Caenorhabditis elegans: one gene and its partner. The protein of the gene in region 1 interacts with the protein of each later gene in a pairwise test. Each region holds a gene or a part of one and is shown on either strand. Other genes may lie near its edges.

What was found.
Region 2: the proteins of aptf-2 (region 1) and taf-12 interact in a two-hybrid assay, tested with the Caenorhabditis elegans proteins (one large-scale study listed by BioGRID).

What each region holds. Positions count from the first base shown.
Region 1 is NC_003282.8:13,412,286-13,418,266, reverse strand, and holds aptf-2 (Transcription factor aptf-2), read left to right. Parts: upstream 1-2,215; 5' UTR 2,216-2,312; coding exon 2,313-2,324; intron 2,325-3,395; coding exon 3,396-3,887; intron 3,888-3,935; coding exon 3,936-4,279; intron 4,280-4,335; coding exon 4,336-4,591; 3' UTR 4,592-4,707; downstream 4,708-5,981. Other genes in the region: Pelle-like serine/threonine-protein kinase pik-1, read right to left, coding at 68-236, 289-474, 1,359-1,470; gcl-1 (BTB domain-containing protein), read left to right, coding at 5,378-5,575. UniProt on the Caenorhabditis elegans protein: Sequence-specific DNA-binding protein that interacts with enhancer elements to regulate transcription of selected genes. Required for neuroblast and epidermal morphogenesis, perhaps acting in cooperation with transcription factor aptf-4.
Region 2 is NC_003281.10:11,862,795-11,871,469, reverse strand, and holds the start of taf-12 (Transcription initiation factor TFIID subunit 12), read left to right. Parts: upstream 1-2,188; 5' UTR 2,189-2,195; coding exon 2,196-2,291; intron 2,292-2,614; coding exon 2,615-2,747; intron 2,748-5,263; coding exon 5,264-5,445; intron 5,446-5,749; coding exon 5,750-5,845; intron 5,846-6,337; coding exon 6,338-6,523; intron 6,524-7,867; coding exon 7,868-8,071; intron 8,072-8,675. Other genes in the region: Y56A3A.6 (WH2 domain-containing protein), read left to right, coding at 1-66. UniProt on the Caenorhabditis elegans protein: Part of the general transcription factor complex TFIID. Plays a role in recruiting taf-4 to the nucleus and thereby activating transcription initiation by RNA polymerase II, as part of the TFIID complex.

The DNA of each region.
Region 1 (5,981 bases):
AACTAAAAAAAAAACTGATTAAGAGTTATATTAATTCCAATTATTTTTTCCAAATGTCTAAAATGACCTGGATAACTGAGAAGCTGCTGCTGCTGCTGGTGACGGAGATGACTCTTTTATTTCAGTTTTTTTCAAACGAGACGCACTTTGAGACCCCGGCGGTTGGACCATTTGTTTCGAAACTCGAGACGTCGAATTTGTGACCTTGTTCTCCAAATAATGATACTTCTCATGTACTGTGAATTAAAAATTTTAAATTTTTGTAGTAGAAACAACAATTAGTTGTACCTTGTGACCTCATCATTCTCATCAATCGAATCAATTTTGTTTTCGCAAAAAGTTGATAAAGATGAGTTGTCGAGTATCCTTTCGAGCTCCATATTCTTAAAAGTAACTCCGATGGACTTTGGTTATAACTTGAATATCTCTTGCAACCTTCAACATCTCTCAACTCAATTCCGGGCATGTAAGGTGCTGAAATTATGGATATTTGAACACTTTGCTATTTATATTCCCCAGACGTGAAATTTTGTGATTTCTCTGTCTAGGTCTCGACGCGACAATTGTTTTGTTAAATGCGAAAATGTGTGCGCCTTTAAAAGTGGTGTAGTCGAATTTTTGTTATTGCTTTATTAGACTCAAAACTATCTGAAAACACCGAATTTCATAATGAAACTTTTTGAAAACTTCTCAAAAAATAGTTATGACAGCTCAAAAAATGACCTAAAATTTGTTAAAATTTGAAATTTGACCGACTTGTAAAGCGGCTGGAAACAATTTTTTTGAAATCACCGTCAAATTTTGAGTATACATGTCAATTAACTTGCGTTTTCGACTACTACTTTACAATTAGGTATTTTAAAGTCGATGGACGGCGAGATTTGGTTTAAAAAAATTGTTAAAAATCTCGTCGTCCATAGACTTTAAAATACTTAAATCAAGTTGAAAACGCAAGATAATTAACTGGTATACCTACAATTAGACGGTGATTTCAAAAAAGTTCGTTTCCAGCCGCTTTACAAGTCGGTCAAATTTCAAATTTTAACTTATTTTAGGCCATTTTTTAAGCTGTCATAACTTTTTTTAGAAGTTTTATTAAGAAATTCGGTGTTTTCAGACAATTTTGAGTCTAATAAAGCAATAACAAAAATTCGACTACACCACCTTTAAAGGAAAACTATAAAAAAATTCGATGAAAAATCCGCAGATTCGAATGTTTGAAATAACTATTCTTTAAAGTGCTTTAAGAATTAAAGGCGCACACCGTTTCGCATATAACAAAAATTTGTCGTTTCGAGACCCTATTTTTGGAGCAAAAACCGCGAAATTTCAATGATTTGTTATAAAAAAGTCCGAACCAATCGTCTCCCAAGTGTTATCCGTATCTAAAATCGCACATATTTGCTGGAGAACTTCTCGTTTCATGAATGGAATCATTACAACTTCTGATACTCCAAGAGAATCATCCATTGTCTCTGAAAAATTCCAGATTATTTTTAAAAATATGTATTTAAACAATTTTAACAAGTTTAATTTTAAAAGAGTAGCTAATCAAAAATTATTTTGCTTTATTAAACTAAAAATGGTCCCAAAATATCGAATTTCATAACAAGACTGTTCAAAAATGCTTTTAAAAGGTTTATTTCCGCTAAAATCTCCAATTTCACCAACTTTTCCGTTTCACAGCGATCGGAAATTGATTTTTATCTGACTATTGCCCTATTTTGCTCATTTTCCTATTTATCTTCTGTTTTTTTGTTGATTTAATAGTTTGGATTTAAAAATTAAAATTTTAGATGATAAATTAACGAAACAACGCAAGAAAACCAATAAAAATATTCAAAATAGAAGAAAAATCAAATAAAAATCAATTTCTAACCGTTGTGTAACGAAAAATTGGGAAAATTCTATTTTTTCTTCGAAATTAATTTTTTTCTCGTTATAAAATTCGGGGTATTCGGGCCTTTTTGAGTATAATAAAGCAATAAAACTCCTCCTTTGATTGGTTTTTTGAAAAAATGTATAGAATGTTTTGAATGTGTTTTTATTATATTTTTAAAAATAAAAATATTTTAAATTAAAATTAAAATTTAATATTTAATTAAACTTATAAAACGAACAATTCTGAAATTCCAATAAATCCAAAAGCGGAGGAAAGCGGAGTGTCGTCACTTCCTCTCGTCGTCTCATCCCTCTCCCTCTCTCTACATTTTCTCTCTCTTCCATTCCATTACTTGGCACATTCTTCTGGAGATGTCACCTAGAAAACAGATGTTTTTGCAACACTGGAAGAGTAGATCAATAATAAAAGAATGGATATACAGGTGAGCGCGCACAGATTTGATCTCCACACCATAAACGATTTACAACCAATGAGGTCAAATATTGTAGAAGGCATTCGATCTACCTTATTAATGTCATTTCTTTCTTCCCTTTTTTTCAGCTTTTTTTTTGCTTTTTTTCCATAATTTGGAGGTCTGGCAATAACAATTTTACTTTCAAGCTGGAGTACCGAAATCTGAGACTTTGTTTTTTACACCCAAAATAGCCCAAAAATACCGAATTGGTAATGGGACGTTTTGAAAATTTCTCAAAAAAAAGTTATGGCAGTTGAAGGTTCTGGAAAAATGGCACATTTTCAGCTAAAATCAAAATTTTGGTCAACTTCTCGGTGTCACAGCGTCTGGAACATCATTTTTATGTAATTATCACTATTTAAAGACTATTGCGGTCTTCTATTAAGCGTTTATTCGTTGATTTAAACATATTTTCGGTAAGTGGGACACAAATAAAAGTTACATTTTTGTGCCCCACTGACAATAAATGTACTTAAATCAACGAATAAACGCCTAATAAAAAACAAAAATATTCTTTAAAAAGTGATAATTGAATCAAAATTAAGTTCCAGACGCTGCGACACCGAGAATTAGACAAAAATGTTGATTTTAGCTGAAAATTAGCCTTCTTTCCAGAACTTTGAGCCACCATAACTTTTTTTTTTGAGAAATTTCCAAAACGTCTCATTACACAATTCGGTAGTTTTGAGTCATTTTGGGTCTAAAAAAGCAAGGGTTCAGATTTCGGTACCCCATCTTTAAAATATTCAAATGGATCCAAATGCTGAAATCCCACAAAATTAAGTTTTAGAAATACAGTTAATTTCTGACGAATTTTTCAACTTTCTGCCGAAATTGATAAAAAAAACCAAAGTGCGGCACAGAAAAATGGGCGTGGTTAAGTGGCTAAAGTGCGGAAATTCAAATTATTCAAAAAAGGATATTATGAAGAAGCGAAAATTCGTCACAATCAACTTTTTTGTTAAACTCTGTAAATTTATATTGTCTGCTTTTGAATCCATTCGCGTATTTTAATTTATTCATTTATTACTTTTTCAGATGTTCACCACGCTCAACTCTACTGTTCCAACGGAACCCGTGGTGGGACCTGTGGAACCTACAGTACCTACAGTACCCGCCACAAAAGAGACTGGCCCTTCAAGCTCTGCAGAGTGCTCTACCCAACCCGCCGTTGCCGAGCAAGAAGACAACTCCCTTTTGGCACAACTTTTAAAAGGAAAAATCACGTCTGATGATGCAAAGTTGCAACCACCACGTGGACCTTTCGAATACGCACCGATGCTCTCCGAGGAGGCACAATTTGCGATTAAGCTGGCGGGTCTTCTCAACCCGAATCCGGTCACTGAACAGGACCCGAGCACTTTCAAGCCGCCTCCGAAAATGAGCAATAATGTTCGAAAAAACATTAATTTGACTCCGGTTATTGAGAATGCAGTTCCGAGTGGATTTGAACTGGAAAGTCCGAAAGATCAGGCATTTGATGTGGTTCATGGAAGACTATCTATGGGACAGAATCAGACATGTTATTTTGTACGTTTACGGTAGAAGTTCAATATTAAAATTTAAATAATCTTCCAGGTCACAGTCGAGGAAATGAGACGAAGATTGCAAAGTCCGGAGAAGCTCAATAGTTCGAGTATCGCATGCAATCTTAAAAGGCCAAAACTGAAGAATGGAGGTGAACTGATGCGCGCTCAACTGAGAGATCATGGAATCAAGGTTCAACTGAATGCGAAACAGAAGGCTTTTCCCAACAAAGTGATCGCTTTGGTCGAAGCGGAAGCTGTTCATTTGGGACTTGATCTTGGAACAGCTGTACGAGATGATTATCCAGTTCAAGATATAATTCAAGAAGTTGCTCATGAAGCATTGGCTGACGAGGATGCAGATCTGGATGCGTTGATGAATGATAAGGATTTCACGTAAGTTGACTATATTCCAATTTCTCAATTCTGACGCCAAATTCCAAATATTTCAGAGAATGTATGTCAGCACTTGAATCAGTTTTCACATCAGTCGTCCCTCCGATCACTGGAATCGAGCCAAAACCGTCGAACAACATGCGACTGAACAATGGAATGGAGACCTTTTCATCAGCTTCACATGGACTTGGAATCGTGTCTCAACGGGTTTGGCTCCCCCAATTGACTGCAATCGGAAATGGAGTCGCATCTGAACTTCGACGCTTGACAGAGACGCCAACTGAATCAAAGCCAGAGGAATTGAAAGCATAAATTCATATTTTCATATTCTGATATTTAAAACAATCTGATTACCAAGGTCTCACTTATTTTCCATGATCTCTATGATGTTTTCACTTAATTTCAATGAAACTTTTTATTTATTTAAATCCTCATACGATGTTCCTTAGTACTAGGAAATGCATCATTAAAAATGATTTTCATATTGCTAGTACGTCTTATAGAGTAGCTTCGAATTCACTTTATACATTTGAATAATATTGAATTTTATAGGTTTTACACATCATTTTGATCATTTTGATGTGTAAAACTTTGAAAAATTCATTATTATTCAAATGTATAAAATGAATTCGAAGCTTCTCTATAAGACGTACTAGCAACATGAAAATAATTTTTAATGATACATATTCCAAAACTGAAAATTAGGAATTTCTTTACCCCCGTTCCTCACGTGAAAACATTTATTGACCCTGTGGCAATGTGCGCTTGCGCGTCTGCGTCTCCAGAAGGCGTAATCTCTCGTGTTCAAACACTTTCTCAACTGACCATTTGTTTGCGTCGTTGCCGACGGCTTAACCATATGTTGCCTTTTCCCCCTTACATTTATACAAGACAGTAATATTAATAAATCGGTTTGATCTACAAAAATGCGGGAATTTTTTGGTCAAAAAATGTGACGTCAGCACGTTCTTAACCATTCGAAATCAGTTGACAGCTCTGCATCTAAATTCCCGCATTTTTTGTAGATCTAAGTAAATCCAGCTGAAATGAGCCATCTGACACCACGTGATTTACTGAAACATTATTTTCCAGTCAAAAATGGGATTAGCTCAGTCCCACTCGCGGACGCCCTCTCGTGATCCACTTCCAAATGACCATCAAGTAATGGATGTGTATGAAGAGTCTGGTCCAAGACGGGGAAGAAAACGAAAAGCGGCAAAAGGAAGTGAGATTGAGATGAAGAAAGTGGCAAAACTGAACACATGTGCATATGTATATCAGAAATTGTTTTTACAGGTTAGAATAAATTGAATTTTTAGTGCAAAATGGGTAACTAAAATATGGAGTTGACTAAATTAATGCAATAAAATTCCAAAATGAATGTTTTGTTTCAACAAATTTGAGATTTCTTCGTCACGAATCTGGTAAATTGTGTTTTTTTTTAATTTTGTAACATGGAAAAAGAAAAAACTGATTATTTAGTTCGAAAACCTACATTTTAGTATTTTTTCACTAATTATGCCAACTATATACCGTATTTCCTCTATTAGTCTTGCATGCAAGAGAAAATTGCCAAAATTGTTACTATTGTGCTGAAATTTTATTCTCAGAATTTTTAAAATTACAGGCAAAACAGGGCCACTCGTAATTTTGAACGTCTACCAAAAATTGATTTTTACTATGATTTTGGAATTTTTAAAAT
Region 2 (8,675 bases), on another chromosome or scaffold:
TCGTTGATGAATGAAATTCGAGAAGCTGGAAGGCTACGGGCCGCCCGTGTTGCTCAATCTGCTTAATTTATACGCTTTTTTTTGTTTGAAGAAGAAAAATGAACTGAAACTGGTTTTAATCTTATTTTCGTCGTTGTCAACATCTAGCCCATTTAATCTTGAATATTTTCTGTGATTTGTGAAGAAAAACACGTTGAATAAATTATTTTACAGCTGAATATGTGCTTTTTTAATTTCAGATTTGATGGCCTAATTGGGAAATTCTAGGCCACCAGCCATTGCCGATGAACATATTACAAATTTCAAAAAATTATTTTCTTCAAAACCAAACACCCAAATTTTTTTTAACTACCAATCTACTAACCGATTATACTAACCGATGTCTGAATAATAATATAAGCACAAAAAATTAATACCCACCGTTCAAAATCTGACTGAAATTCCAGTTTTAGTTTAGCTCCCAATTAATATGTATTCCAATTTTCAAAAAAATTATTTTATTCAAAACCAATCACACAAATTTTTTAAAACTTCACCAATATACTAATTGATCTTTGAATAATAATATAAACACAAAAAATTAATACCCACCGTTCGAAATTTGTCTGAAATTTCAGTTTTAGTTTAGCTGAAAATGAATAAAAATTCAAATTTTCAAAAAATTATTTTCTTCGAAACCAAACACCCAAATTTTTTTCAAACTTTACCAATTTACTTACTGATGTCTGAATAATAATATAAACACAAAAAATTATTACCCACCGTTCAAAATTCGACTAAAATTCAAGTTTTTCTTTAGCTGAAATTTAGTAAAAACTCAATTTTCAAAAAAACATTATTTTAAAACCAAACACCCAAATTTTTTTTTAACTTTACGAATATACTCGATTATGACCGAACAAAATTTTACGCTAATATCCAGTTTTACTTTGACTTTTCAAAACCCTCATGCGCCTTTAAACCTCGGTGTACTGTAATAACTCGATATTTTAATTGTTTTTATTGCCTTTTCCTCAACCAATGTTAGATAAAATATGTTTTTCCATTTCCAGTGATCACATGGTACAGTTATATTCAATTAAAGAAAACAATCGCGGCGAGACCCAAAAATGTACTTCCCAATTCGATCCCAATTCTTTCGCAAAATAATGACAGAGTGGACAACAAAATGTGACATGTTTGTTTTTATAAGACGTCCGCCGTCGTCTTTTTTCTGTTTACTTGCACTTCCTCGCAACGGCGTGGCCTAGGTTTTCCCACGGCCACGCTCATTTAGGTTCTAATAAACCACACTAGTGAGAGAGAGAGAGAGATAGTTGCGAGAAGAGACGGAAAAGAGCTAGAGAGGTCTCTCGTTCTCTTCATTGGCCTCAATTTCTCGCCACCACCCCCTACGTCTCTATTCCCCCAATGTCCTACATTTTTCGGATCGTTTTTCCCTTATATCAGAATCTGCCTAATTTTACGAGGTTTCGGCGCATAATATTATGTGCAATTCGAGAATAAAACTTTGAATATTTATTAGTTTAGGTCTTTTTCATTGATTTTTTCCAATAAATTCAATTTGATTTTAAATTGCTTGAAAATCGCCACCGTATCACTTTAAAGGCGCATTGCTGTTGTTTAACTTTGGGTCTCACAGCGAACCGAGTTTCAGTCATTAATTTTGATTTTTCCTTGGTTTTTTTTAAAAGAAAATTCTCAAAGTTAAAATTTTCACTCGGTTTTAAAATTAATAATAGCTAGCAACTATAATTCTGGAAAAAACATAAATTCACTTTAAATTGCCTAAAAATACAACCGTATAAGTTTAAAGGCGCATTGCTATTTTTAAGTTTGGGTCTCACAGCGAACCGAGTTTCAGTTATTAATTTTGACTTTTCCTCGGTTTTTTAAACTTTATTTGAAGAAATTCTTCAAAATTAAAATTTTTCTCGTAATATTTAATCAAAAATAATAATTAGCAACTAAAAATTCGGAAAAAAATAGAAATTGCTTGAAAAGTTTCACCGTATAACTTTAAAGGCGCAATGCTTTTGTTTAACATTGGGTCTCACAACGACCGAGGTACTGTGGAAAATTTATCGAATTTAACGAATTTATTCATTTTTATGAATATATTTCCATTTTCCTCGGTTTTCCGAAAGATTTTAAGCTTTAAAATCATCAAAAAAAAACTTAGTTGCAGATAAAAAATGAAAATGGAAGAATTCTCACCTCCAACTTCACCGAATAATCACGTAATCGTGCAGGCGAACCCGCAAATCGCCGCCGCTCTCTCCACGAATTCTGTAAGCGATTTGTGTGTCCGCTCTCTAATTATTGCTTTCTGTCCCAACAATGACTCACCGGCCAGCCGACAAAAAAAAAACAAAAAAAACGAATAAAAATAATAAAAAATCGGAGCGCCTCTCCGTTTTTTTTCCCCCGTAAACGTCCAAAGTGTATGTGTATTATTCTCATATCGATTGTGCTTCTCTTCTTCCCCCGACAAAACCATTTCCATCACAAAAGCTTCTCGTCGTCCTCTGTCCATATATATATATATATTTACTAATACTAAAAAATGTGGCCCTACCATCATGGATATCACGTCTATCACCCACATTTTCAGCCAATGCAGCAGGGAATTCCGCCACAAGGCCATCAGAATCCCAACGAACAGCAGCAGCAGCAGCAGTTTGTGGGCCAACCGCCGATGGGTGGAATGGGCGGCCCGATGAGAATGCAGATGCCACAGCAGCAAAGTATGAAGAAAAAACTCCTAAAAAATGCCTCAAATTCAGAAATAATTCCGTGAAAAATGAAAAAAAAATTGCTCAAAATTTAGCTGAAATCTCCAATTTTGTCCTATTCCGCCTATTTTAGTCGGCTATTTTACGTTTTTTCCGAAGAAAAAAGAAAAAAATCGCGAAAAAGTGAAAAAGTTAACTCGAAAAACATGATTTTTCGAATTACCTCCAAAATGAGAAATGCCTGAGCAATCAGCGATTCGCTCCGCCCACTTTTCGACCAATCAGGTAGATTGGGCGGAGTTTGAAGATGCTGATTGGTAGGAAAATACTCGAAAATTGGTAAATTAAATATTTAAAAAAAGCGATTTTTAAAATGGAATTCTTTGAATTTTTTAAAAGCGATATCTACATTTACACAAAGCCGCCTTAAATTACACCTAAATTAACGAAAAACGTGAAATAAATATGCAAATTAGGATGAAAATTGAATAAAAATCAATTTCTAGCCACCCTGGCACCGAAAAAATGGAGATTTTCGCTAGAATTAGGCGATTTTCGGAATGTCTGGTAGATCATGGTGTGATCTACAAAAAATGCGGGAATTTTTGGCCCAAAAAAATGTGACGTCAGCATGTTCTTAACCATGCAAAATCAGTTGAGAACTCTGCCGCATTTTTTGTAGATCAACGTAGATCAAGCCGAAATGAGACACTCTGACACAATGTGTGGTTAGGAAATTCGGAAATTCAGCAAAATTGGAACAGCGACCAATCAGCGACCGGCTCCGCCCACTTTTGGACTAATCAGACGGAGTGGGCGGAGTTTGTAATCGCGATTTTCTCCGTTTTTTTTTTTGTGGTTTTTCTGAATTTTAATGTATTTTTGGATATTTTTAAAGAGAGTGTAGTTGAATTTTTTTTTTATTGCTGTATTAGACTCAAAATTGTCTGAAAACATCGAATTTAATAATGAAACTTCTTGAAAACTTTTCAGGAAAAAGTTATGATGGCTCAAAAAATGGCCTAAAATTAGTGCATTTCTTGCATTTTCAACTTGATTTAGGTATTTAAAAATCAATGGACGGCGAGATTTTTAAATTTTTTTAACGATTTTTTTCCGTTTTTTTTTGTGGTTTTTCTGAATTTGAAACTATTTTTTGGATATTTTTAAAGGTGGTGTAGTCGAATGTTTTTATTTGCTTTATTAGACTCAAAATTGTCTGAAAACACCGAATTTCATAGTGAAACTTTTTGAAAACTTCTCAAAAAATAAGTTATGACGGCTCAAAAAATGACCTAAAATTAGTTAAAGTTTGAAATTTGACCAACTTATCAATGTCGCAGCGGCTGGAAACATTTTTTTTTGAAATCACCGTCAAATTTTGAGTATATAAGTTAATTACCTTGTGTTTTAAATTTGATTAAGGTATTTAAAAATCGATGGACGACGAGATTTTTAAATTTTTTAAAACCAAATCTCGCCGTCCATCGACTTTAAAATACTTAAATGAAGTTGAAAACGCAAGATAATTAAATTGTATACTTAAAATTTGACGGTGATTTCGAAAAATTGTTTCCAGACGCTTGGCTAGTCGGTAAAATTTCAAATTTTAACTAATTTTAGGTCATTTTTTGAACCGTCATAACTTATTTTTTGAGAAGTTTTCAAACAGTTTCACTATGAAATTCGGTGTTTTCAGACAATTTTGAGTCTAATAAAGCAAATAAAAACATTCGACTACACCACCTTTAAAAATATCCAAAAAAAATAGTTTCAAATTCAGAAAAACCACAAAAAAAACGGAAAAAAAATCGTGATTTTCAAATTTTACTAAAATTAGCTCTCCGCCCACTCCGTCTGATTGGTCCAAAAGTGGGCGGAGCCGGTCGCTGATTGGTCGCTGTTTTAATTTTGCTGAATTTTCAAATTTCCTAACCACACATTGTGTCAGAGTGTCTCATTTCGGCTTGATCTACGTTGATCTACAAAAAATGCGGCAGAGTTCTCAACTGATTTTGCATGGTTAAGAACGTGCTGACGTCACATTTTTTGGGCCAAAAATTCCCGCATTTTTTGCAGATCACACCATGATCTACCAGACATTCCGAAAATCGCCTAAAATCTCCATTTTTTCGGTGCCAGGGTGGCTAGAAATTGATTTTTATTCAATTTTCATCCTAATTTGCATATTTATTTCACGTTTTTCGTTAATTTAGGTGTAATTTAAGGCGGCTTTGGGTAAATGTAGATATCGCTTTTAAAAAATTCAAAGAATTCCATTTTAAAAATCGCTTTTTTAAAATATTTAATTTACCAATTTTCGAGTATTTTCCTACCAATCAGCATCTTCAAACCCCGCCCACTCCGTCTGATTGGTCCAGAAGTGGGCGGAGCGGTACGCTGATTGGACGATGTTCCAATTATGCTGAATTTCCGAAAATCGCCTAATTCTAGCGAAAATCTTCATATTTTCGGTGACTACACCGTCTCTTTAATAAGGCTTCTCATGAAATAATTCGTAATTTTAGTCCGCCAAATGCCATACCCATCACCACAAATGCGTGCGGGCCCTCCACCACCACAGCAGCAGCAGCAGCAACACTTTCAACAAATGGGTATTCCACAACAGCAGCAGCCCCAACAATTCACACCGAATGGGCAATCAATGCAAATGCAACAGAGACCAATGCAGATGGGCATGGCTCAAGGGGTACGGGGGCGGTTATTATCTGGGAAATTTGAATTTAAAAAAAGCTTCCGTTTGAGACCCAAGAAAAACCTTTTTTCGGGAATTTGGGTCCACGGGATCAAAAATCTCTGAAAAATTGTTCTAAAAAATGTTACAAAACAATTTCTGCAGTGGAGCAGCGGAGCAGCGGTGAAAATTTCAAGGCTTGTATAATTTCTTCAAAAAAAAAATTTTTTTTTCGCATATTTTGGGCATTTTTAAGACTTTTTCTGCAGTTATTTTTGGAAATCCGCTTAAAAATCCTCTAATTTTAAAATGTTTCCAGCCAGGACCATCTGGACATTTAATGGGAATGGTCGGAGGGCCTCCGCCACAACATATGATGCAGCAGCAAGGAGGTGGTGGACCACCACAATTTGTGGTGAGTTTCCGGCAAAATCGGCAAATTGCCGGAATTGAAATTTCCGGCAAATCGGCAAATTGCCGGAATTGAAATTTCCGGCAAAACCGGTAAATTGCCGGAATTAAAATTTCCGGCAAATCGGCAAATTTCCGGAATTGAAATTTCCGACAAAATCGGCAAATTGCCGGAATTGAAATTTCCGACAAAATCGACAATTTGCTGAAATTAAAATTTCCGGCAAATCGGCAAATTGCCGGAATTGAAATTTCCGACAAAATCGGCAAAATGTCGGAATTCAATTTTCCCGCAAATTGCCGGAATTAAAATTTCCGGCATATCGGCAAATTGCCGGAACTAAAAAGGCAACGTTTACCGATCGAGCTCGTAAAAAACCGGCAAATTCGCCAAATTTGTCGTGGCGTAATATTTTTTGGAGCTCAAAAAGAGCCCGATTTAATGGAAAAACTATAAAAACCATTAGTTTTGGGCAAAATTTTTCAAAATTTCCAGCCAAACTCGTCTCCAATGCCGCTGCCTCCTCAACAAATTATGCAAGTACAACATCAGCAGCAACATCAGCAGCCACCACCATCTCAACAAATTCAACAGCCTCCAATTCCACAGCCACAACAGCAACAGGCACCGCCACCTCAAATGATACCGGCCGCTGTTCCGTATGGAAGTATTATGGAAAAGGTGCAACAAAAAACCGGCAAAAATACTTAGAAATTTCGGCAAAAAAACCGGCAAAAATACTTGAAAATTTCGGCAAAAATACTTGGAAATTTAGGCAAAAAAACCGGCAAAAATACTTGGAAATTTCGGCAAAAAAACCGGCAAAAATACTTGGAAATTTAGGCAAAAAAACCGGCAAAAATACTTGGAAATTTCGGCAAAAAAACCGGCAAAAATACTTGGAAATTTCGGCAAAAAAACCGGCAAAAATACTTGGAAATTTAGGCAAAAAAACCGGCAAAAATACTTGGAAATTTCGGCAAAAAAACCGGCAAAAATACTTGGAAATTCCGGCAAAAAAATCGGCAAAAATACTTGGAAATTTCGGCAAAAAAGCCGGCAAAAATACTTGGAAATTTAGGCAAAAAAACCGGCAAAAATACTTGGAAATTTCGGCAAAAAAACCGGCAAAAATACTTGGAAAATTGATTTTTATTTAATTTTGAAATTTTTTCAGAAAAAATCGAATAAAGCTCAGATTTTCCGATTTTTTTTCAAAGAAAATCGAAAAAAATTCAGGTTTTTTCAGGAAAATTTAAAAAATTTTCTGATTTTTTAGTTTTTTTTTCAATTACAAATTTCTCTAGCAAAAATTCGCAAAAAAAAAATTTTTTGGATTGTCTTTTCATAGAAAATGAGCAAATTTCAGATTTTTCGGTCTTTTTTTTCAGAGAAAATAGGAAAAAAAATGCACAAAGAATTCACGGAAGGGGACGAAAAAGCTATAGATTTATCAAAAAATATGCTGATTTTTATTGAAAAAAGTGATTTTTTTTTTCTATAAAGTATTGAAAAATGGCCGGAATTTATTGAAAATTCGATTTTTTTTAAACGAAAAACGAAAATTTCCAATTTTTCAATACAATTTTTAAATTTTTTTTTGAACTTTGAAAAAAATTCGAACTTCTGCATACACTAGTTTTTGCTTTGCTCCTGAAAAAATAATGAAATTAAAAATGGAATTTTTTGTAAATTTGCTATTAAAAATTCGATTTTTAAATTTTCACTGAAAAAAATGCCTAAATTTTTGGTAATTTTTCTTGTAAAAATTCTTGTAAAATTAAGAGTTTTTGTTTAATTTTCTAATTAAAAAATTTTAAATTTTCGATTTTCAAGATTTTCAAACAAAAAAATCGAAAATTATAACAATTAATAAAAAAAAAAAAAAAAATAGCCTAAAATTTTCGTAGTTTTTTTTTTTCAAAAACTCTATAAAATTTTTTTTTCCGATTTTTTGATTTTCACTGAAAAAACCGAAAATTCTTATTTTAAAAAATCTTCTTTTTTTTAAAATTTTTTTTTCAGTCAAAACTGGATGATTTGATGCAACAAATCAGCTCAACAACAGTACTCGAAGAAAATGTAAAAGATGTTCTTGTGGAGTACGCCGACGATTTTGTCAGTTCTCTAATCGATAAAGCATGCAAAATGATCAAGAATCGGGAGGTGAAGAAAATTGAATCACGGGATATCGAATTTATTCTCAAGAATGTCTATAATATGCCAGTGGTACGGCGTTTTTATTACTGATTTTTATGTTTTTTTTTGATATTTAAAATGGTCTAGAAAATACGGATTTCGTGAAAAAAAAATTAGAAAAAAACGCCTAGTTTTAGCTAAAATCTCTAATTTTTGACTATTTTTTTGGAAAAAAAATCTTCTTTTTTTTGTTGATAAAAATTTTCATCACAAAATAGCTTTAAAAAACCGGATTTCGTAAAAAAAAAACGCTTAATTTTAGCTGAAATATCTACTTTTTTACCGTTTTTCGATTCTCCAGTATTAAAAATTTTACCTGAAAAATACAGAAAATCGGGTTTTTTTTTCGATTTTTAGTGTTTTTCAGAGAAAAAATGTCTAGAAAATATTGAAATATTCATTAGAAATTTTTTTTTCTCCGAAAAACCTTGTAAAATCGGAAAAAGAAGAAAAAAAAAGTGTTAGGATATATGGATTTATCAAAAATATGCAAAAAAATGTGCAAAAATGTGCAATAACTGTGCAAAAATGTGCAATAAATATGCAAAAAAATGTGCAAAAAATGTGCAAAAAATGCGCAAAAAATGTGCAAAAAATGTGCAAAAAATGTTCAAAAAATGTGCAAAAAATGTAC